3 linked regions of the Arabidopsis thaliana genome follow. The protein of the gene in region 1 purifies or fractionates together with the protein of each later gene. This does not show direct contact. Each region holds a gene or a part of one and is shown on either strand. Other genes may lie near its edges.

What was found. Proteins that work in one complex are often made in the same cells at the same time.
Region 2: the proteins of PPC4 (region 1) and AT4G31490 fractionate together in Arabidopsis thaliana (co-fractionation; one large-scale study listed by BioGRID). This does not show direct contact.
Region 3: the proteins of PPC4 (region 1) and AT4G31480 fractionate together in Arabidopsis thaliana (co-fractionation; one large-scale study listed by BioGRID). This does not show direct contact.

Annotation. Positions count from the first base shown.
Region 1 is NC_003070.9:25,822,096-25,829,741, reverse strand, and holds PPC4 (phosphoenolpyruvate carboxylase 4), read left to right. Parts: upstream 1-1,594; 5' UTR 1,595-1,637; coding exon 1,638-1,793; intron 1,794-1,948; coding exon 1,949-2,112; intron 2,113-2,223; coding exon 2,224-2,338; intron 2,339-2,456; coding exon 2,457-2,534; intron 2,535-2,619; coding exon 2,620-2,688; intron 2,689-2,767; coding exon 2,768-2,846; intron 2,847-2,923; coding exon 2,924-3,000; intron 3,001-3,091; coding exon 3,092-3,187; intron 3,188-3,415; coding exon 3,416-3,557; intron 3,558-3,663; coding exon 3,664-3,759; intron 3,760-3,836; coding exon 3,837-3,904; intron 3,905-4,009; coding exon 4,010-4,246; intron 4,247-4,344; coding exon 4,345-4,470; intron 4,471-4,552; coding exon 4,553-4,654; intron 4,655-4,729; coding exon 4,730-4,876; intron 4,877-4,976; coding exon 4,977-5,075; intron 5,076-5,155; coding exon 5,156-5,244; intron 5,245-5,364; coding exon 5,365-5,491; intron 5,492-5,565; coding exon 5,566-5,772; intron 5,773-5,975; and 3 more. Other genes in the region: NUDX1 (nudix hydrolase 1), read right to left, coding at 135-442, 517-652. UniProt on the Arabidopsis thaliana protein: Through the carboxylation of phosphoenolpyruvate (PEP) it forms oxaloacetate, a four-carbon dicarboxylic acid source for the tricarboxylic acid cycle.
Region 2 is NC_003075.7:15,266,856-15,273,730, reverse strand, and holds AT4G31490 (Coatomer, beta subunit), read right to left. Parts: upstream 5,286-6,875; 5' UTR 5,092-5,285; exon of another isoform or gene 4,516-5,091; intron 4,283-4,515; 5' UTR 4,272-4,282; coding exon 2,226-4,271; intron 2,008-2,225; coding exon 1,498-2,007; intron 1,403-1,497; coding exon 1,317-1,402; intron 1,243-1,316; coding exon 1,038-1,242; 3' UTR 1,037-1,037; intron 924-1,036; 3' UTR 501-923; downstream 1-500. Other genes in the region: CYP83B1 (cytochrome P450, family 83, subfamily B, polypeptide 1), read left to right, coding at 1-54; AT4G31480 (Coatomer, beta subunit), read right to left, coding at 6,347-6,551, 6,626-6,711, 6,804-6,875. UniProt on the Arabidopsis thaliana protein: The coatomer is a cytosolic protein complex that binds to dilysine motifs and reversibly associates with Golgi non-clathrin-coated vesicles, which further mediate biosynthetic protein transport from the ER, via the Golgi up to the trans Golgi network.
Region 3 is NC_003075.7:15,261,165-15,268,391, forward strand, and holds AT4G31480 (Coatomer, beta subunit), read left to right. Parts: upstream 1-1,989; 5' UTR 1,990-2,911; coding exon 2,912-5,026; intron 5,027-5,253; coding exon 5,254-5,763; intron 5,764-5,855; coding exon 5,856-5,941; intron 5,942-6,015; coding exon 6,016-6,220; 3' UTR 6,221-6,221; intron 6,222-6,304; 3' UTR 6,305-6,727; downstream 6,728-7,227. Other genes in the region: AT4G31470 (CAP (Cysteine-rich secretory proteins, Antigen 5, and Pathogenesis-related 1 protein) superfamily protein), read right to left, coding at 582-1,139. UniProt on the Arabidopsis thaliana protein: The coatomer is a cytosolic protein complex that binds to dilysine motifs and reversibly associates with Golgi non-clathrin-coated vesicles, which further mediate biosynthetic protein transport from the ER, via the Golgi up to the trans Golgi network.

The sequences.
Region 1 (7,646 bases):
AAAAGAGTAAAAGAGAGGGGCATTCCGAGAATTGAACTCGGGACCTCTCGCACCCTAAGCGAGAATCATACCACTAGACCAAATGCCCAATTTGCAACATTCAATCCCAAATCAATCATTAACTCTTACATCTATTAGTCTCCACCACCATGAGTGAAAGGATTGAAACCACTTCCAAACAATTTCTCAAGTGGCCAAAACAAAGGCTTTGGTAGATTCTCCCAATCATACCAATCCCATCCTTCACACTTCTCTGGTTCCATATTCTTCGGTTCTTGACTTGGATCCACCAACACCGCACGTATCGAAACAGAGACGTAGTGTGATGGCGTTGGTGCTTCTTTGAAGACATTGTTTGTAACAGTCAAAAGCTTCATCTTTTCAATCTTTAGACCTGTTTCCTCCATTACTTCTCTCGCTGCACATTCTTCAAAGCTCTCTCCTGATCAAAGAACAAAGATTAGATCAAATCAAGATTTGGGTGATATAAAGAGAGAAGAGAGAGAGGAGAGAGACCGAATTCGAGGTGGCCACCGGGAAGAGCGAAAGTGGAGTTGCCGATTGAGGAACGGCGGCGACCTAATAAGATTGAGTTTCCGTTGAGAATGAAAACGACGACGGCGACTCTTGGTATCGCTTCTCCTGTCGACATTATTATCGAACACAGTGAAACCCTTTCTTGTCGTGTTTTAGTTTTGTTGACTTAATTTGAGTTTAAAACGATGTCGTATCGGTTATGCGTTTATATACGTGTTGGCAAATGTGTCGCCGTGTCGGTGTGATTGGCTGTACACAATTATCGCTGTTTCTTTTTCCATTGCACTTGTTTTCATTTTATTTATTAAAAAATTTAGATGATATTATATAATATATGTTCTTTATGATGTTGCCATAACGAGAACGATTATGTAAAAAATAACATATACATATACTTTTCTGTTTATAAATGATTATTTTTTTAGAAAAAATTTATTTCTAAAATATTGATTTTTTTAAGTTTTTTATGCAATATTTATTGGTTAGTATTGATGAATTGTAATTAAAAAAAAAAAATTAATTATCATTGTTTTTTGAGTTATAGAAAACTGTAAAACATAAAAAATAATGTATTTATAATCAACATTTATTATGTTTTCTTAAAAAATAGAAGGAGTAGTCATTTGTTAGATAGTAAGACTTAGCCAAATTATATGTCATTTACTGTACTTTAGTTTTTTTTTCCGATCATAAGAATGTATGTTAAAATAACAATCACCAAAGAGGCACAAAATAAATTGTAGGTCCAAAGATAAAACAGAGTTAGTTAAAACCAGTTACTCCTTTCGTAGAATTTTTACCCAAAAAAAGAAAAAAAAAAATCGTAGAATTTCCTTCTCTTTTCTTCTTAATTATAATATATCAACTGTTTGTTTTGTTGTTTAGTTTGGAAAGGAAGAAAATTAGCTTAAGAAATAAGAATATATTTTTTTGGGGAAAGATGACTAGCACCACAAATTTAACTACGCCATAATTTACTGCGTTGACCACCATAATTAGTAATTAAGCACCATAGCTAACAAACCATATATAATCACTCTTCAAAATATTTAACTTTGATCACTGCAATTATTCATTCCTTCACCTTGTTCATTGATACAATGACGGACACAACAGACGATATCGCAGAGGAAATCTCATTCCAAAGCTTCGAAGATGACTGCAAATTGCTCGGTAGTCTCTTCCATGATGTGTTACAAAGGGAAGTTGGCAACCCATTCATGGAAAAAGTCGAACGCATTCGGATTCTTGCTCAGGTTTCATCTTCTGTCTATTCGCTTCCATATGCTTAGATCATTTGATAAGAATCTCACATCGTAGTAATAAGAGATATAGTCATATAGATCAATCAACTTATCGAAACAAATATGAATGATACGACTTATTTTTGTGTGGTTTTTAAATGTTTCAGAGTGCGTTAAATTTGCGTATGGCTGGTATTGAGGATACCGCAAACCTTTTGGAGAAGCAATTGACTAGTGAAATATCCAAAATGCCACTAGAAGAAGCCTTAACGTTGGCTCGTACATTCACTCATTCTCTTAACTTAATGGGCATTGCAGACACTCATCACAGGTCATGATTTTTGTAATCACATTACAACAAAAATATTACAAGTAATAAACATGAATAGATAATTCTAAACTTAAACATTGTGGATTCTAATAATAAACATTTTTATTCCAGAATGCACAAAGTCCATAACGTTACACAACTTGCAAGATCTTGTGATGATATATTCAGCCAGCTATTGCAAAGTGGAATCTCTCCAGACGAACTTTATAAAACTGTTTGCAAACAGGTCTAGCTACTTCATATTGTATCATTTTAGAAACATTTCAATTCGTTTTATCTAACACAAAGGTCGTATCTGAGTGTTGTTTTCTCTATTTGATATTTGTTTGTTTATCGCGCTTTAGGAGGTCGAAATTGTTCTTACTGCTCATCCTACCCAAATAAATCGAAGAACCTTGCAGTACAAGCATATTAGAATTGCTGTAAGTTAGTTCTAATGATGTTAACATATATGGATTATATCTCTTAATTTTACTTGAGAGAGTTAAAAGTATATGGTTCTTGCAGCATCTTCTAGAATATAACACTAGATCAGATCTAAGCGTTGAAGATCGCGAAACGCTCATTGAAGATTTGGTACACTCCATCTCAATATCTTCCATATAAATTTTATCAGCAGAGTAACTTATAAACTAAGAGTTACTTATACTTAAAGGTTAGAGAGATTACTTCACTGTGGCAAACTGATGAGCTTAGACGTCAGAAACCTACTCCAGTTGATGAAGCTAGAGCTGGTATTTTAAATATAATTGTAAAGTACAGAAAAGTTTCACTCTAAAAAACTATTTCTCTTTCTTTTTCATTCATTTAGGTCTAAACATAGTGGAGCAATCCCTTTGGAAAGCAGTACCACAATACCTGCGTCGTGTCAGCAATTCCTTGAAGAAGGTATTATTTTACCTTTAGGTATCTAGAATATATGAATAATCGTTATACTTTATCTTAAGATAATATTGATATTTTGTATTTTCTTGGTTAGTTTACAGGGAAGCCACTTCCACTAACATGCACTCCTATGAAATTTGGTTCTTGGATGGGAGGTGATAGAGATGGAAATCCAAATGTCACGGCAAAGGTTAGTCTTTTGATATTTTACGATTTGAACTCAAAACCAACCGGTAATGAAAATTAGTCCATGGTCGTTATTATATTACTCTAGGTCACATCTCACTTGTAATATGAGATTCTTAACATTTACTTTTTGATGAAGAAGATCTTTTAAAACTGCAATCAGAAAATTTGATTGTCACATATTCTCTTGATATATAACACACACTTGAATGTTGTGATATCATTTGTCCAGGTCACGAAAGAAGTATCTCTCTTGTCTAGATGGATGGCTATTGATTTGTACATAAGAGAGGTTGATAGCTTAAGATTTGAATTATCTACGGATCGATGCAGTGATAGGTTTTCAAGATTAGCTGATAAAATTCTTGAAAAGGGTAAATATATGCTTCAATTTCTATTAAATCTTTACTTGTTCATTTACATAAAAATTTTTTGTTCTGAATAAAGTTGATGTTTTTTCCCCTTAAAATTCTGAAAAAGATTATGATAGAGGAAAATCAAATTTCCAAAAGCAACAAAGTTCATCATGCTTGCCAACACAACTTCCAGCTAGAGCTCACCTTCCTGCTTGCATTGGTAAAAAGATTTCTTAATCTCTTGCATTTGGTAAATATCTCAAAACCATGCATGTTTTATATCACATCCCATTGCAGACTTTGGTGAATCACGACATACCAAATTTGAAATTGCGACGACAGATTATATGCCACCCAATCTCCAGGTAACACAAAGCCTTTAAATGTGCTGACATATAGATGAAACATATTTTACAGAAATTTCTCCATCCTCTTTTGATTAATTTTTCTTTTAATCTTTGTTTATATAGAAGCAGAATGAACAAGACTTTTCGGAAAGCGACTGGGAGAAAATTGACAATGGTTCGCGGTCCGGTCTTACTTCTCGAGGTTCTTTCTCATCTACTTCTCAACTTCTTCTCCAGAGAAAACTATTTGAGGAATCTCAGGTTGGGAAGACTAGTTTCCAAAAGCTACTAGAACCACCTCCACTTAAACGAGCTGGAAGTGCTCCTTATCGTATTGTTCTTGGAGAAGTAAAAGAAAAGGTAAAGATCATAAGCTTTTCAATCAAAGATAATATAAAGATTCAGATTTAGCATGTCAAAACCAACAGATTTTCAAATTTAATGATTTATGATCATAGCTTGTGAAGACAAGAAGACTTCTTGAACTTCTTATTGAGGGTCTTCCTTGTGAGTATGACCCTAAAAACTCCTATGAAACATCAGATCAGCTTCTTGAACCATTGCTCCTCTGTTACGAATCTCTGGTTAGCAATCTTGATTCCATGTGAAACTTGTGTTACCACAATAATCCATAATCATAAAATTTAACATCATTCGTTTTTGCAGCAATCATCGGGTGCTAGGGTACTAGCTGATGGACGACTTGCTGATCTGATTCGTAGAGTTTCTACCTTTGGAATGGTTTTGGTGAAACTCGACTTACGCCAGGTGATTTTAGTTTGTTTTCTTAAATCTTCATGCTTTGGTCCTCTAATTCAATAATATGTGTGATTCAATTACTAGGAAGCTGCAAGACATTCTGAAGCTTTGGATGCAATTACAACATACTTGGATATGGGTACTTATAGTGAATGGGATGAAGAGAAGAAATTAGAATTTTTGACAAGAGAACTAAAAGGGAAACGACCTCTTGTTCCTCAATGTATTAAGGTCATAATGAAATATCTATTGCGTAAACTACAAGAAAGAGCAATGTTATGTTATGAAAGTTGTTAAATTTTATTTATTTATCTGTATTTTATTTATGTAGGTTGGTCCTGACGTCAAAGAAGTATTGGACACATTCCGAGTCGCTGCTGAACTTGGAAGTGAATCACTTGGCGCTTACGTTATTTCTATGGCTTCAAATGTATAATTTTCTTATGCATGACGACTTTAAACATTTTCATTAAAACAAAACAATGACATAGATTTGTTTGTTACTTGCAGGCAAGTGATGTCCTCGCTGTGGAACTTCTTCAAAAAGATGCTCGACTTGCTTTAACTAGCGAACATGGAAAACCATGTCCTGGTGGAACGTGAGTTCAAATCTCCACCAAGATATTACATTGTTTATAGCAATCACTTTATAAGTACATACATGAGTAACATTTTTAGTAGTCTTAAGATCTCTTACTACTATCTATTTATTTGAATAGGCTACGAGTGGTACCTCTTTTTGAAACGGTGAATGATTTAAGAGCCGCTGGTCCTTCGATAAGGAAATTGCTCTCAATCGATTGGTATAGGGAACACATCCAAAAGAACCACAACGGTCACCAAGAGGTACGTTACACGTGAATTTAAACATGTTAATTTTGAAGGGAGGTTCTAAGAACTTGTAACAATGTTACTTGTAGGTGATGGTTGGATACTCTGATTCTGGAAAAGATGCTGGACGTTTTACTGCAGCATGGGAACTCTACAAAGCTCAAGAAAATGTTGTTGCTGCTTGTAATGAATTTGGAATCAAAATAACATTATTTCATGGACGAGGAGGAAGCATTGGTCGTGGTGGTGGTCCAACCTATCTCGCTATTCAGTCCCAACCACCAGGCTCTGTAATGGTCAGTTTCCAAACTATTATTTATTGATCATTTAAAAACATATTTAATGATTGTATTATTTGTTTTGTTACTAATGTCAATACGGGGTTAAAAATATATATATATATATATATATATATATATATATATATATATACATTTTTGGTGCCATGGCACTAGACCAATGAGCTATTACGCTAAAATGATTGAACTGGTTTGACCAGGGCTCTTTGCGTTCAACTGAGCAAGGTGAGATGGTTCAAGCTAAGTTTGGGATACCACAAACGGCTGTTAGGCAACTAGAGGTATACACAACCGCGGTTCTACTCGCTACCTTAAAGCCTCCTCAGCCACCTCGAGAGGAAAAATGGCGAAACCTAATGGAAGAAATCTCTGGAATCAGTTGCCAACACTATAGAAGCACAGTGTATGAAAACCCAGAGTTTCTATCTTATTTTCATGAGGCAACACCGCAAGCAGAACTTGGTTTCCTCAATATAGGAAGCCGACCAACACGAAGAAAGAGCTCTAGTGGAATAGGACATCTCCGAGCTATCCCTTGGGTCTTTGCTTGGACTCAAACAAGGTTTGTTCTTCCAGCTTGGCTTGGTGTAGGGGCTGGTTTAAAGGGAGTTTCTGAGAAGGGTCATGCGGATGATCTTAAAGAGATGTACAAAGAATGGCCATTTTTTCAGTCCACCCTTGAACTTATAGAGATGGTGTTAGCTAAAGCAGACATTCCAATGACCAAACACTACGACGAACAACTTGTGTCTGAGAAAAGAAGAGGACTTGGCACTGAGCTAAGAAAAGAACTAATGACTACTGAGAAGTACGTTCTTGTGATAAGTGGTCACGAGAAACTCTTGCAGGACAATAAGAGCTTGAAGAAACTCATTGATAGTAGACTTCCGTATCTCAACGCAATGAACATGTTACAAGTTGAAATTCTTAAGAGGCTAAGACGTGATGAAGATAACAATAAGCTAAGAGATGCTTTGCTTATCACAATCAATGGTATTGCTGCAGGAATGAGAAATACCGGTTAATACACTACCACAACACTTGCTTACGTGATTTAAAAGATACTATTACTTTTGCTGTTTTCTTGTTGGACAAGTATTGATGTCATTCTTTAGTACTAGTACTGGACCTCTAATCTGACATTGTGTTGCTGTTTGAGCTTGCACTTGTTGAACAACACGGCGTTCTTACAAATGAGAACGGCAAATAGTTTATAACTTCTCACTTGGCCAAGTCAAAAGTAAGAATATTTGTCTATCTTTTGGCACAAATGATTTTTTTAGGCTCCAATTATTAAATAATGGGTAAATTACAACCAAAGGAATTTTTTTTTGCAATTTCCATACATCCACATATTTTTATAATATAGATATCTAAATCACATCCTGTAACCATAAACATAAGGTACCTTTTCATGTTTAAAACACCAACTTGTGGTCCAAGGTTAATGGATCAAAATTTGTGTTTAAAGTAACTTTTAGTCTTCTATTATTTCTAGTTTCAATTGCTTTTTACTATTTGCTTTCTAAAAATACTATATGGTAGCCTTTTACATGTCTGAATTTAAAAGTTTTCATGACCCAAAGCATATTCCTTAAGAATATTATTTGATCGTGGGGTACATCGTTTTTTGTTTGTTTGTTAAGTGTTGTGCATCTTATGATTTTACAAAAGTTTATTTTCTCATACAAGTTTCCTAAAGACGTTTATTAGTCAACTGTCAAAAATAACCATATCAAAGACCTTATGTAATAAATCAAACTGCAAAATTGTTAATACCTACAACAGGCAGATCCAAGATATATCTTCATGTTAAGAATGAAACAATCTAATTTACTGATGTCCAATAGTACATCGTCTTTTAATGGCAA
Region 2 (6,875 bases), on another chromosome or scaffold:
CTCGCTATGCACAAGAAAGAACACCTCGTTCTTGCACCAACGAAACACATCTGATGCTATATATATCATTAGGACGTTTCTGCTGGTAGATATGGCGTGACCAATGGTTATTTTTCATTGCAATATCCCTTTTTGTTTTAATGAGTACTATGTTCTCATTTTAACGAATAAAAATGTATCAGTGCTCTTGTTTTTGGACTAGAAAAGAAAGTAGTCCGATGTTTAATATTCGGGTCCCTTTAATATTCCCTCTGGTTTACAATATTTTAAGCTATCTTAGTAAACATCTATAATGTGAATATATGACTAGAAAACAAAAACATGTCGCTAACAAACAATAATATGAATTTATGACGAAGAAACCAACATGTTGCTAAAAACAATAATATGAATACATGAGGAAGTTTCGTTGACAATGATAAGTAGTGGAAGACTTGACTTTGGATAGCATCTTGCCAATATGTTGTCCTACGTCACATACGAAAGAAAAGTAGGAAAAGAAAAACTTTTGTTCTGCGAAAAGAGAGAACCACGAAAGGCAAGAAAAAAAAAAACAGAAGTAGAGATCGTATATGAAATGACGAGTCTAAAATGGAACAAACCCATGTAACTTTGAAATCTACTATTGATAACGCGTTCAACAGTTCAGTCTCCTCGATAAACAAGATTATAGAAGAAAAAGTATTACAAATAAAACAAAATCGTCTAGTACTGTAAAAAGACAGCCGGTTGAGGAAGAATCCATCGGTACCATACCGGAAAATATACCGGCTTAGGAAGAATAATAACAAATTACTCTTTACATATCCTTTAAACGACTCTTCTCTCCATGTAGTAAACAGAATCAACCAACGAAAAATTGCTCAAGAGAGAAACGTAGCCTAAACCTTTTACCTTTTACCTTGCACGCTATCATTCCAAGCCTGTGAGAAATCATCGTTATGGTAATGAAAATTAGACCAATTAAAAGTTTAAGGATTCAAACATTTATGGATTGCATTGAGAGATAGAAAATGTTTCCAAAAGATTAGCTAACCTCAGCTACCACCCTTTTGTTTGAGGGTGATTTTGTCTCCAAGACTTAGAGCAATCCCTTGCGTCTTGCTCCTTATCCTTATGTAACCACTCAATGTTCCATCCGTTTGCTTCTCAATACTCAAATTCACAAGAGCATCCTCACCAAACACACTTTTTGCATATAAGTTTGCTGCAAGGAATCCACATTCACCTGCTATTGCAGATCTGCAAGTAAAGAAGTATTAATTAGTAAGACGAGTTTTTCGTTTCTACAGGATGAAAGAAGAATTTACACTTACGGAGCAGTGAGACATTTCATGTTTGTGGATTTGATAATGTGGTCGAGGAATTCTCTTTCGTTTTGAATTGTGGTGTTCACAGCAACCTGACATGAATAATACAACAGGCAATGGTTATACCAAAATCTAACAAACAAACAAACAAAGAAGGTAATACTTTTAAAAGGTTTCGGTAAATTACCTTGTTTTCCCATTCAAACTCTGCCCACATAGTTCTGAAAGCAACCTCTGAGCACACAGCAGGGGAGATATAGTCCATGATATCAATGTGTATGTCGTTAAGAACCACAACATTGCGCTCCATTACATTTGATGTCTCATAGACGATGTTCCCGAATATGACTCCTGTCTCTGTGGACGAGACCTTGATGTTTGCTTTAATCTGCATGCTTCTTTCAGGTGCCAGACTATAGTTCTGAGGACGCTCAACAAGTTTGAGATCACCCATGGTTGCTAACTCCAAGCACAAGTTCTGAAGGGTTTCCTTGGTTCGGTTGATTACTGTAACTTCAAGAGCAATATCATAATGGTGTACCGTTACATATGCTTCAGCATAGACTGGGTCACTGAATCCTGTGAGTTGAAGAATGCGGTTAAGTTTGTTAGCATCGTTCTCGTCCTTGGTGAATTCTCCAGTTGCACGCTTTAGGTCATCTTGTACCTGGTCTTCCAACTCAAGTTGACTCATTCCCTGAAAGAAATTTATCATCAGTAAGCTCATCTACAGACCAAAAGAAATAAACATAACATGCCATTATATACTTTTGCCATCTTTCTTTAAAAATGGAGAAAAAATCGGATATGAACTGTAAGAGAAAGCAGATAAAAACTAAACAGAGTGCGAAGGAAAATCATAAGGAAAAGAACACACAATAAAGCGAGGGAAAGCTTAGAAAATAATAATATTACCTTCCGACTCTTTAGATGGAAGAAGTCAATTAGATCATCCGGTTGAGCATGAGTTGTTTGGGTCTTTGCCTTCAGTTCCTCCATCTCTCTAAGCTGTTTTTCAGAAATCATCTTGACAAAACTCTGGCGGCAGGATTCCAACCATATCTTTTTCATCTCAACATTCCTATGGCAAAGCAATTTTATGCACAACATAATCCGCTCATACGAATCATTATCAATAGGGTGTGGAGAAACAGGAGATTGCCCAAGTTGCAAAATAGAAACCATGATTAGCAAAGCCTGTGATACTGTCTTGTTTACTTCAGTTTTGGAAGACTGAACCTCTTCCAACCTAAGAACAAGTTTGGTCAACGTGCAAGCAACCACAGCTCCGAGGAAAAAATCACCAGTTAGAAGGAGTGCCCTCAAATTTCCAGAAGTCAGTGATCCTTGAACAACTGTAGGCGAGGAGAATGTGGTTTCAGAGGCTGCGCTTTGTGTAGCATAAGTTCCATCAGCAAGAATAACTGGCTTTCTAGAGGACACCATGGCAGAAGAGGTAGGCTGAATCTTCTTTGATGTCTCAGTTGGCTCAGACTCCTCAGAAACAGAGTAAAATGGTAATTCGCCAAGGCATTGTGTAATAGTTGAAATGCCACTCTCAACTTCTGAAAGTGATAGGCAATACTCACCAATGATCCAAAGTGCACAAGGGCAGACCTTTCCTGCACGGATCTGATAGAACGTGTCCAACAACCTGGTGATGATTGAAACTCTCAACTTGGGATTTGTTTCTATTATCTCTCTAACGAAAACAACCACGTCAAGAGCTGAAGCCACGTTGCTATCTCCCAGGAAATCCATCAGAAGATGGACCACTGTGCTTGCAACTTCGGGGAACTTAACTGCACAAGCATGGATGGCTTGAATAAGCATTTGCCTGTACTCTCCATTCTTCTCAAGTTCTCCACTCTGTGTCTTCACAACTTCTTTCTTCAACATTTGAACGACTTCATTAATATTATGATGGGTAATCAAGTCAAGGGCAATGTCAAGTGTCTTCCTGCGGATATCAAGGTTTGGGCTTGAGAGTGCTCTGAGCACATCGATTATCAGCTCAACCATGATATCTCTGTGCAATGTCTTAAGCTCATACAACCGATCGAGCAAGATAAGCTTCACATTGTTGTCACTCTGAGAAAGAAGAAGTTGGCAGTAGGTGTTGGCAGCAGCTCGAATAGCAGTAGGGGCAGATGAGAGAGAAACAAGTGTCCCAGCACATTCATAGATAACTGCAGAAGAAGTAGCACTTAACAGAGAAATAATAATTTTAATATATTTTCCCTTCTCCGCTGGTTTAGTCTTACACACACTTCGAATCAGCTCCAGCACCACCATCTGAAGTGATTCATTCCAGTCTGAAACCTTGTCAACATTGCTCAGAAGATAATTCACTGCACGTTCTTCGGCACAGGTAAAGAGCATTAGAAATGCATTTCTCTTGGCAGAAGGATCTTGTTCTGTTGATAGAACTTTCTCGATCATTTCAGGTGCATCCACGAAGAGTTGGTCGCCATGTGGAAGTTTATATATCGACATGATTGCCAGAATTGCATTCCTGCGAACAAATGGATGGCGATGCTCCAGATTTTGTAACACTGATGGAGTCAAAGGTTCCACTATTTCAGTCTCCTTCATCCGACAGAGAAACCTCAGTGTCACTCCACGGATGTACTCATTCGGATGCTGAAGGTTATTACGAAGATTCTGGCATATCAAAATCATTTCAGGCAACACCTTCCCCTTCGAATCTGTCTTTTCAATCAGCTCCAGGTACAGCAACAGAAGCTTTTGGATGGTGTGGTCTTCAGAAGGCAGCACATATCTTATAATGGTAATGAAAAGCTGAGGAATGGTTTCACCATTCAGCAAAAGCATAATTGCCTTCTTCATGGCATCAACTTTAGCTTCAACATCATTTCCTTCGAGAGCTTCTTTAATCTCATTAGCAACTGCTGGAGTCCCTTTGTCATAGTGAACAAGCATGGTACTAGATTTGTCCATCTTTTCAGGTGCTGCACAAAGAGTGAAAAATAAAATAAAATTGTGAGCTCATATGAAAAGGAAAAATCATGCAAGAACAAGTGTACCTATGTTAACATAAGAAATTCAAAGCGAATAGAGAATAGGAACCTAAAATACTGAAAATCGATTTAAAGATAAAATGAAGTAGTATAGATCACAGGTAACAATCAATATATCCAAAATTTTAAGAATTTTCTTTTAATTACTAAGTTAGTATAAGCACCTTACTAGTATCTTCATCACTGCTCGAGTAAGTTCTAAACAAGAAGTTTCAGAGTATCCCCATAATACTACTCAGCAATAATAATCTACACCTCTCTACATATATTTCAGTACAATGAAGAAAGCATCTATGTTCTCAAATCCACGGTATATGAGAAAGCATCATAATCGCTGAAGAATATTCGGTAATGTCTAATCAACGACCCAAAGATGCAAGACATTGACAAATTCAAATCCTCAGATCCAGCAATACACATCACTTTTACTACAACTACGACCAAAACATTAACATAAAATCGAATAATAAAAAAGCTTCGGATCAACCAAAGTTCATATCACAAATGCAATATATCTCCCCAGATTTGATGAACAAACAATGGAATCTACATAGTTCGCAGTCTCACTCAGCTGCACAAACATGAAAATCGTTTGCCTACCGGGATCGGATCAATATTCAACGAGATCAAGCAAAGAACGCCAGAGAATATTGAACATTGTAGATTTTCACAAAGGAAAAGCAAAAGTGGGATCGATCTCTACGAAATCTGAGTCGCAAGTTTAACAGATAGAGACGAACCTCAAGGTAGGAGATCCACGGAGTAACAAAGCTTTGGATCCGTTAGAAGATTTTGGATCTCGGAAAAAAAAACACTCGCACAAAGTGAGAGATTATGAAATGTCCTTAATATTATCGTGGATTCGTCTTCCCTTGTGTTTACTCCTCCAAATCCGATTTTGTTTTTTAGTTTTTTTTCCTTCTGTTTGGAAAACGAAGAACGGAAAGAAGCGAGTCAACCTCGCAGGCCCAAATATTGATTGTTGACAAGCCCAGTCCAATAGAAGTTGAGAAAGCATAGCCCCTACTTTTTTATTGTTTCCAAAACGACCCCAAACTTTTAAAAGTGAGCGTAATTAGGAATTATGTCAGTTTTTCCTTGAAACGTGCTCCAACTTTCGGTTAGAGATGGATGATTTTATGATAGAAGATGATGTATTTGGATCTTTCCTCTTCTACTCGCGTCTAGTATTTTCTTGTCTAATGATGTTAGCGATATCTAGTTACGCGAATGTGTATGTGATCGTCCCTTGGTACCTTGAGGCAAGTGATTTAAGATTATTAAATTTTGCTTAAAAATTATTGCTTGGTTTTCTTGAGAATAGAAAAGGCTGTAAGAATCAAATGTTATGGGTTTGGTTGTGAAGCAATTGGTTTCTTTGGCTTGTAGATTTTGAATATGGTCCATATTAATACATGCGTTTCATTACAACTTACTTGCTAACATAACCCGTATTATATAGCTACTAGCAAATTAAAGTCTAGCTTTGACAATTGAATAGTTCACTTCAAATGCATATGAAAGAAAAGAATAGAGATCAAATCTGAAATGACGAGTTCTAAAATGGAGCAAACCAAATGTAGCTTTGAAATCTACAATATCATAAAGTTCACGGTTTAAAGTCCTCAACAAACGACATTATAGAAGAAAAAGCATTACAAATAAAACAAAATCGTCTAGTACAGTAAAAAACACACTGCCATATGAGATGAAGAAATCCATCGGTACCATACCAGAAAATATACCGGTTAAGTAAGAACGATAGCCAATTACTCTTTTTACATATACCCTTGAACGCCTCCTCCCTCCATATAATAAGCAGATTCAACCAACGATAATTGCTCAAGAGAAACGTACGTAGTCTAAACCTGTTACCTTTGCACGCCACTGTGAGAAATCATCGGTATGGTACTGAAATTTAGACCAATTGCGGTTTAAGGATTAAAACATGTATTAATCGAGAAATAGAATATGTTTTGAAAAGATTAGCTAACCTCAGCTACTACCCTTTTGTTTGAGGGTGATTTTGTCCCCAAGACTTAGGGCAATCCCTTGCGTCTTGCTCCTTATCCTTATGTAACCACTCAATGCTCCATCCGTTTGCTTCTCAATACTCACATTCACAAGAGCATCCTCACCAAATACACTTTTTGCGTATAAGTTTGCTGCAAGGAATCCACATTCGCCTTCTATTGCGGATCTGCAAGTAAAGAAGTATTAATTAGTAAGAAGAGTTTTTCGTTTCTACAGGATGAAAGAAGAATTTACACTTACGGAGCAGTGAGACATTTCATGTTTGTAGATTTGATAATGTGGTCGAGGAATTCTCTTTCGTTTTGTATTGTGGTGTTCACAGCAACCTGACATAAAGAATACAACAGGAATTGGTTATACCAAACTCCAACAAACATACGAAAAGAAGGTACAACTATAAAAGGTTTCAATAAATTACCTTGTTTTCCCATTCGAACTCTGCCCACATAGTTCTGAAAGCAACCTCTGAACACACAGCAGGGGAGATATA
Region 3 (7,227 bases), on another chromosome or scaffold:
ACTGACGATGGCACGAGTCGAGGTTTCGGCCGGCGATGAGAACCGGCGTCGATCTTAGCCATAGGGTTCAATTTCTGAGTTTTGAAGCGTTGGGCTTTTTTAATTCGTTGGCTCTTAGGCCCAAATTAATTCTCTCATTAATTTACGGTTCGGTTTTAATCGGTTCTAATTTGTCAATCCGGATAAAAAGTCAATAACATCTAACATAGACCAAACCATTATCCCAAAGAAAAAAAAAACATAGACCAAACCAAGTCAACATGAATTGAAATTTAAGAACCTCGGTCCTCCCAACTCAACCGAAACACAATCAAACCGGCCAAACATTGTTTTTTTTACGGCAACAAAGATATATCAAAACACAAATTGCAACACTAAAAATCATGTGTTTTATTGGTGCCTTATATAACAAATGAAACCTTACCCGAAAGGTTTAGCATATATGACATCCAGACAAGAGAAAACGTAATTCATCATTTTCGTTATCTAACATACAAGAATCAAAACAAGATTTCACATTAACAAAGATAAAGTGTACATAGTTGAGGAAAATAAAGGTAAAGATAAAGTGTAGACAATATTCAAAAGGGTGGTTGTCCAACAATGTTACCAGGAGGATCATAGTTACAAATAATAAATGTGTCACCGGTCTTGCAAAAACTGATTGCACACCCAATCCTCGAACTCTTCTTCCATACAAGTTGCGTGTAATGCAAACAATCCCCATTCGCCTTGCAGTGGGAAGTCCTCCGGTCATAGTATTTCATCTCCGAGGCCCATGCAGCCACCGCATCCCGTGGAGTCCAACCTTTTCCGCTTCCCCAGAAGAGATTCTCCCCGTAAGGTCCCCCGGAGTGGATAAGTTTGCAATCTCCACGGCGGGTTCTGGCCCACCGGCTCGCATAGAGGGCGAGGCTATTGCTCCATTTGAGAGGAGGGAGACGAAGCTTGGCTCGTAAGATGTTGTGTGGTCGGAGAAACTGCTGCTGAATGGTGTTGCGGGCTAGAGCTTTGTCTTGAGAAAAAATTAGTGTTGATGTTGTCGGTGTTCTGTTTGATGGGATTTGAAAAGAGAGAGAAGGAAGTGGAGTGCTGATAACTATGATAATGATGATGAATATCAGAGTTTTTTGTTCCATTGGGATGCTAAGTTAGATTTGTTTCTGAGCCTCTAGATCTAGCTAGTACGATCCTTACCATATATATATACACACACACACATAATTGTTTATGCTTTCATATTTGTACGTATATATCATCTAACGAATCTAAACACATGCTATGTTAATAATGCGCAATGACAAGTGCTAATCATTTCGGTGGAACATTGATTATTTGTAGGGAATGATTTTATTCAAACAAAGCATACATTATTGAGCTAATTAATAGATCATTATATATGAAGGAAGTTTTAATAGGATGTTTTCTTTTTTTCTTGTAAGAAGAGACTTTATCATAGCAACGAGAATATATCCCAAGCATAAAACATTATATACAAACTCATTCAAATGAAAACCTAAGTTAGATATTTAATTTGACCACTCTTAAAATACTTGTTTAGTTATAACATGTTTACTATGCAGATTTATGAGGCGTATCAGATGGTGTGCTAGAGAACGTGATACAAATTTGGATGCCTTGTTTTCAAGAAATCTTATACATTCCTTGGAGATCAATTTGTATTGTGAGGCTTATAGTCATTGAGCTTACCGTTGATTAACTAAATTTATATTATATAGAACATCAAATAGACGAAAAAAATCAATTTAGTTGACCACCGTTTGTTAGCTAGGTTATAAACTCTGACCCAAAGTGTCCTATGCTTTCAGTATTCAGTTTATTTTATAACGTGTGGGGTCGTTTTGGAAACAATTAAAACAATAGGGGCTATATTTTTCTCAAGTTCTGTTGGACTGGGCTTGTCGTTAATCAATATTTGGGCTTTTGAGGTTGACTCGCTTTTTTCCGTTCTTCGTTTTCCAAAATCAAACCCAAAAGGATTTGGAGGAGTTAATTCACCTGACGAATCCACCACCATAATATTAAGCACATTTGATCTCTCACTTCCTTGGTGCGAGTGTTTTGTTTTCCGAGATCCAAAATCTTCTCTTGGATCCAAAGCTGTGTTACTGTGGATCTCCTCCTCCTCTCTCCCTGGATCTCGTACCTTTGAGGTTTGTCTCTCTGTGTTAAACTTGCGACTCAGATTTCATAGAGATCGATCCCACTTTTGCCTTTTCCTTTGTGAAAATCTACAATGTTCAATTATTCTCTGGCGCTCTTTGTTTGATCTCGTTGAATATTGATCTGATTCCGGTAGGAAACCGATTTTCATGTTTGTGCAGCTGAGTGAGACTGCGAATTATGTAGATTTCATTGTTTGTTCATCTAATCTGGGGAGATAGATCGCATTTTTTTTTTTTTTGAATTTTGGTTGATCCGAAGCTGTTTTAACTGATTTTTCGTTTTTATGTTATTATTTTGGTCGTAGTTGTAGTACAGTGATGTGTATTGCTGGATCTGAGGATTTAGATTTGTCAATGTTTTGCATCTTTGGGTCTCTGATTGGACATTACCGAATATTCTTCTGAAATTATGATGTTTTCTCATAAACCACGGATTCGAGAATAGAGATCATGTATTCAATGTATTGAAATCCAAGCAGAGAGGTATGGATTATCGCCGATGATACTGTTGAACTTCTTGTATAGAACTTACTCTAGCACTGATGAGGACACTAGTAAGGTGCTTATATTCAGTAATTCGAACTTGAAATCGCCAGAAATATTAAAAGTTTTGATATCTTGTTTTTACTTGTGATCTATACTTCATTATGTCTTTAATCAATTGTAACAATTTTGCTCTATTCATCTTCTATTTCTTATATTAACAAAGGAACACTTGTTCGTGAATGGTTTTTCCTTTTCATTTGAGCTCACAGATTTTTTTCTCTTTCACTTTTTGTGCAGCACCGGAGAAGATGGACAAATCTAGTACCATGCTTGTTCACTATGACAAAGGGACTCCAGCAGTTGCTAATGAGATTAAAGAAGCTCTCGAAGGAAATGATGTTGAAGCTAAAGTTGATGCCATGAAGAAGGCAATTATGCTTTTGCTGAATGGTGAAACCATTCCTCAGCTTTTCATAACCATTATAAGATATGTGCTACCTTCTGAGGACCACACAATCCAAAAGCTTCTGTTGCTGTACCTGGAGCTGATTGAAAAGACTGATTCTAAGGGGAAGGTGTTACCTGAAATGATTTTGATATGCCAGAATCTTCGTAATAACCTTCAGCATCCTAATGAGTACATCCGTGGAGTGACACTGAGGTTTCTCTGCCGGATGAAGGAGACTGAAATTGTGGAGCCTTTAACTCCATCAGTGTTACAAAATCTGGAGCATCGCCATCCATTTGTTCGCAGGAATGCCATTCTGGCCATCATGTCGATATATAAGCTTCCACAAGGCGACCAACTCTTTGTGGATGCGCCTGAAATGATCGAGAAAGTTCTATCAACCGAACAAGATCCTTCTGCCAAGAGAAATGCATTTCTAATGCTCTTTACCTGTGCTGAAGAACGTGCAGTGAATTATCTTCTGAGCAATGTTGACAAGGTTTCAGACTGGAATGAATCACTTCAGATGGTGGTGCTGGAGTTGATTCGAAGTGTGTGTAAGACTAAACCAGCAGAGAAGGGGAAATATATTAAGATTATTATTTCTCTGTTAAGTGCTACTTCTTCTGCAGTTATCTATGAATGTGCTGGGACACTTGTTTCTCTCTCATCTGCCCCTACTGCGATTCGGGCTGCTGCCAACACCTACTGCCAACTTCTTCTTTCTCAGAGTGACAACAATGTGAAGCTTATTTTACTCGATCGGTTGTATGAGCTTAAGACATTGCACAGAGATATCATGGTTGAGTTGATAATAGATGTGCTCAGAGCACTCTCAAGCCCAAACCTTGATATCCGCAGGAAGACGCTTGACATTTCCCTTGACTTGATTACCCATCATAATATCAATGAGGTCGTTCAAATGTTGAAGAAAGAAGTTGTGAAGACACAGAGTGGAGAACTTGAGAAGAATGGGGAGTACAGACAAATGCTTATTCAAGCCATCCACGCTTGTGCAGTGAAGTTCCCCGAAGTTGCAAGCACAGTGGTCCACCTTCTGATGGACTTCTTGGGAGATAGCAATGTGGCTTCAGCTCTTGACGTGGTTGTTTTTGTTAGAGAGATAATAGAAACAAATCCCAAGTTAAGAGTTTCAATCATCACAAGGTTATTGGACACGTTCTATCAGATCCGAGCAGGAAAGGTCTGCCCTTGTGCCCTTTGGATAATTGGGGAGTATTGCCTATCACTTTCGGAAGTTGAGAGTGGCATTTCAACTATCACGCAATGCCTTGGCGAATTACCATTTTACTCTGTTTCTGAGGAGTCTGAGCCAACTGAGACATCAAAGAAGATTCAGCCTACCTCTTCTGCCATGGTGTCCTCTAGAAAGCCAGTGATTCTTGCTGATGGAACTTATGCTACCCAAAGCGCAGCCTCTGAAACCACATTCTCCTCACCTACAGTTGTTCAAGGATCACTGACTTCTGGAAATTTGAGAGCACTGCTACTAACTGGTGATTTTTTCCTCGGAGCAGTGGTTGCTTGCACGTTGACCAAACTTGTTCTTAGGTTAGAAGAGGTTCAGTCTTCTAAAACTGAAGTAAATAAGACAGTCACACAGGCTTTGTTGATCATGGTTTCTATGTTGCAACTTGGGCAATCTCCTGTTTCTCCACACCCTATTGATAATGATTCGTATGAGAGGATTGTGTTGTGCATAAAATTGCTTTGCCATAGGAATGATGAGATGAAAAAGATATGGTTAGAATCCTGCCGCCAGAGTTTTGTCAAGATGATTTCTGAAAAACAGCTTAGAGAGATGGAGGAACTGAAGGCGAAGACCCAAACAACGCATGCTCAACCTGATGATCTAATTGACTTCTTCCATCTAAAGAGTCGGAAGGTATTATTACTTCCTAAGCTTCCCTTTGCTTTATTGGGTTTTTTTTTCCATATGAGTTTTCCTTTTCAATCTGTTCAGTTCTGTTACGTTGGTGTCTACTTTTTCTTACAGTTCATATCCAATTTTTTTTTTCGCATTCTCAAAGAAAGTTCGAAAGTTGATAGTGGCATGTTATGTTTATTTATTTCGGTCAGTAGTTGAAATTACTGACGATAAGTTTCTTTCAGGGAATGAGTCAACTTGAGTTGGAAGACCAAGTACAAGATGACCTAAAGCGTGCAACTGGAGAATTCACCAAGGACGAGAACGATGCTAACAAACTTAACCGCATTCTTCAACTCACAGGATTCAGTGACCCAGTCTATGCTGAAGCATATGTGACGGTACACCATTATGATATTGCTCTTGAAGTTACAGTAATCAACCGAACCAAGGAAACCCTTCAGAACTTGTGCTTGGAGTTAGCAACCATGGGTGATCTCAAACTTGTTGAGCGTCCTCAGAACTACAGTCTGGCACCTGAAAGAAGCATGCAGATTAAAGCAAACATCAAGGTGTCGTCCACAGAGACGGGAGTCATATTCGGGAACATCGTCTATGAGACATCAAATGTAATGGAGCGAAACGTCGTTGTTCTTAATGACATACACATTGATATCATGGACTATATCTCCCCTGCTGTGTGTTCAGAGGTTGCTTTCAGAACTATGTGGGCAGAGTTCGAATGGGAAAACAAGGTAATTTATTGAAACCTTTTATAGTTGTACCTTCTTTTCGTATGTTTGTTGGAGTTTGGTATAACCAATTCCTGTTGTATTCTTTATGTCAGGTTGCTGTGAACACCACAATACAAAACGAAAGAGAATTCCTCGACCACATTATCAAATCTACAAACATGAAATGTCTCACTGCTCCGTAAGTGTAAATTCTTCTTTCATCCTGTAGAAACGAAAAACTCTTCTTACTAATTAATACTTCTTTACTTGCAGATCCGCAATAGAAGGCGAATGTGGATTCCTTGCAGCAAACTTATACGCAAAAAGTGTATTTGGTGAGGATGCTCTTGTGAATGTGAGTATTGAGAAGCAAACGGATGGAGCATTGAGTGGTTACATAAGGATAAGGAGCAAGACGCAAGGGATTGCCCTAAGTCTTGGGGACAAAATCACCCTCAAACAAAAGGGTAGTAGCTGAGGTTAGCTAATCTTTTCAAAACATATTCTATTTCTCGATTAATACATGTTTTAATCCTTAAACCGCAATTGGTCTAAATTTCAGTACCATACCGATGATTTCTCACAGTGGCGTGCAAAGGTAACAGGTTTAGACTACGTACGTTTCTCTTGAGCAATTATCGTTGGTTGAATCTGCTTATTATATGGAGGGAGGAGGCGTTCAAGGGTATATGTAAAAAGAGTAATTGGCTATCGTTCTTACTTAACCGGTATATTTTCTGGTATGGTACCGATGGATTTCTTCATCTCATATGGCAGTGTGTTTTTTACTGTACTAGACGATTTTGTTTTATTTGTAATGCTTTTTCTTCTATAATGTCGTTTGTTGAGGACTTTAAACCGTGAACTTTATGATATTGTAGATTTCAAAGCTACATTTGGTTTGCTCCATTTTAGAACTCGTCATTTCAGATTTGATCTCTATTCTTTTCTTTCATATGCATTTGAAGTGAACTATTCAATTGTCAAAGCTAGACTTTAATTTGCTAGTAGCTATATAATACGGGTTATGTTAGCAAGTAAGTTGTAATGAAACGCATGTATTAATATGGACCATATTCAAAATCTACAAGCCAAAGAAACCAATTGCTTCACAACCAAACCCATAACATTTGATTCTTACAGCCTTTTCTATTCTCAAGAAAACCAAGCAATAATTTTTAAGCAAAATTTAATAATCTTAAATCACTTGCCTCAAGGTACCAAGGGACGATCACATACACATTCGCGTAACTAGATATCGCTAACATCATTAGACAAGAAAATACTAGACGCGAGTAGAAGAGGAAAGATCCAAATACATCATCTTCTATCATAAAATCATCCATCTCTAACCGAAAGTTGGAGCACGTTTCAAGGAAAAACTGACATAATTCCTAATTACGCTCACTTTTAAAAGTTTGGGGTCGTTTTGGAAACAATAAAAAAGTAGGGGCTATGCTTTCTCAACTTCTATTGGACTGGGCT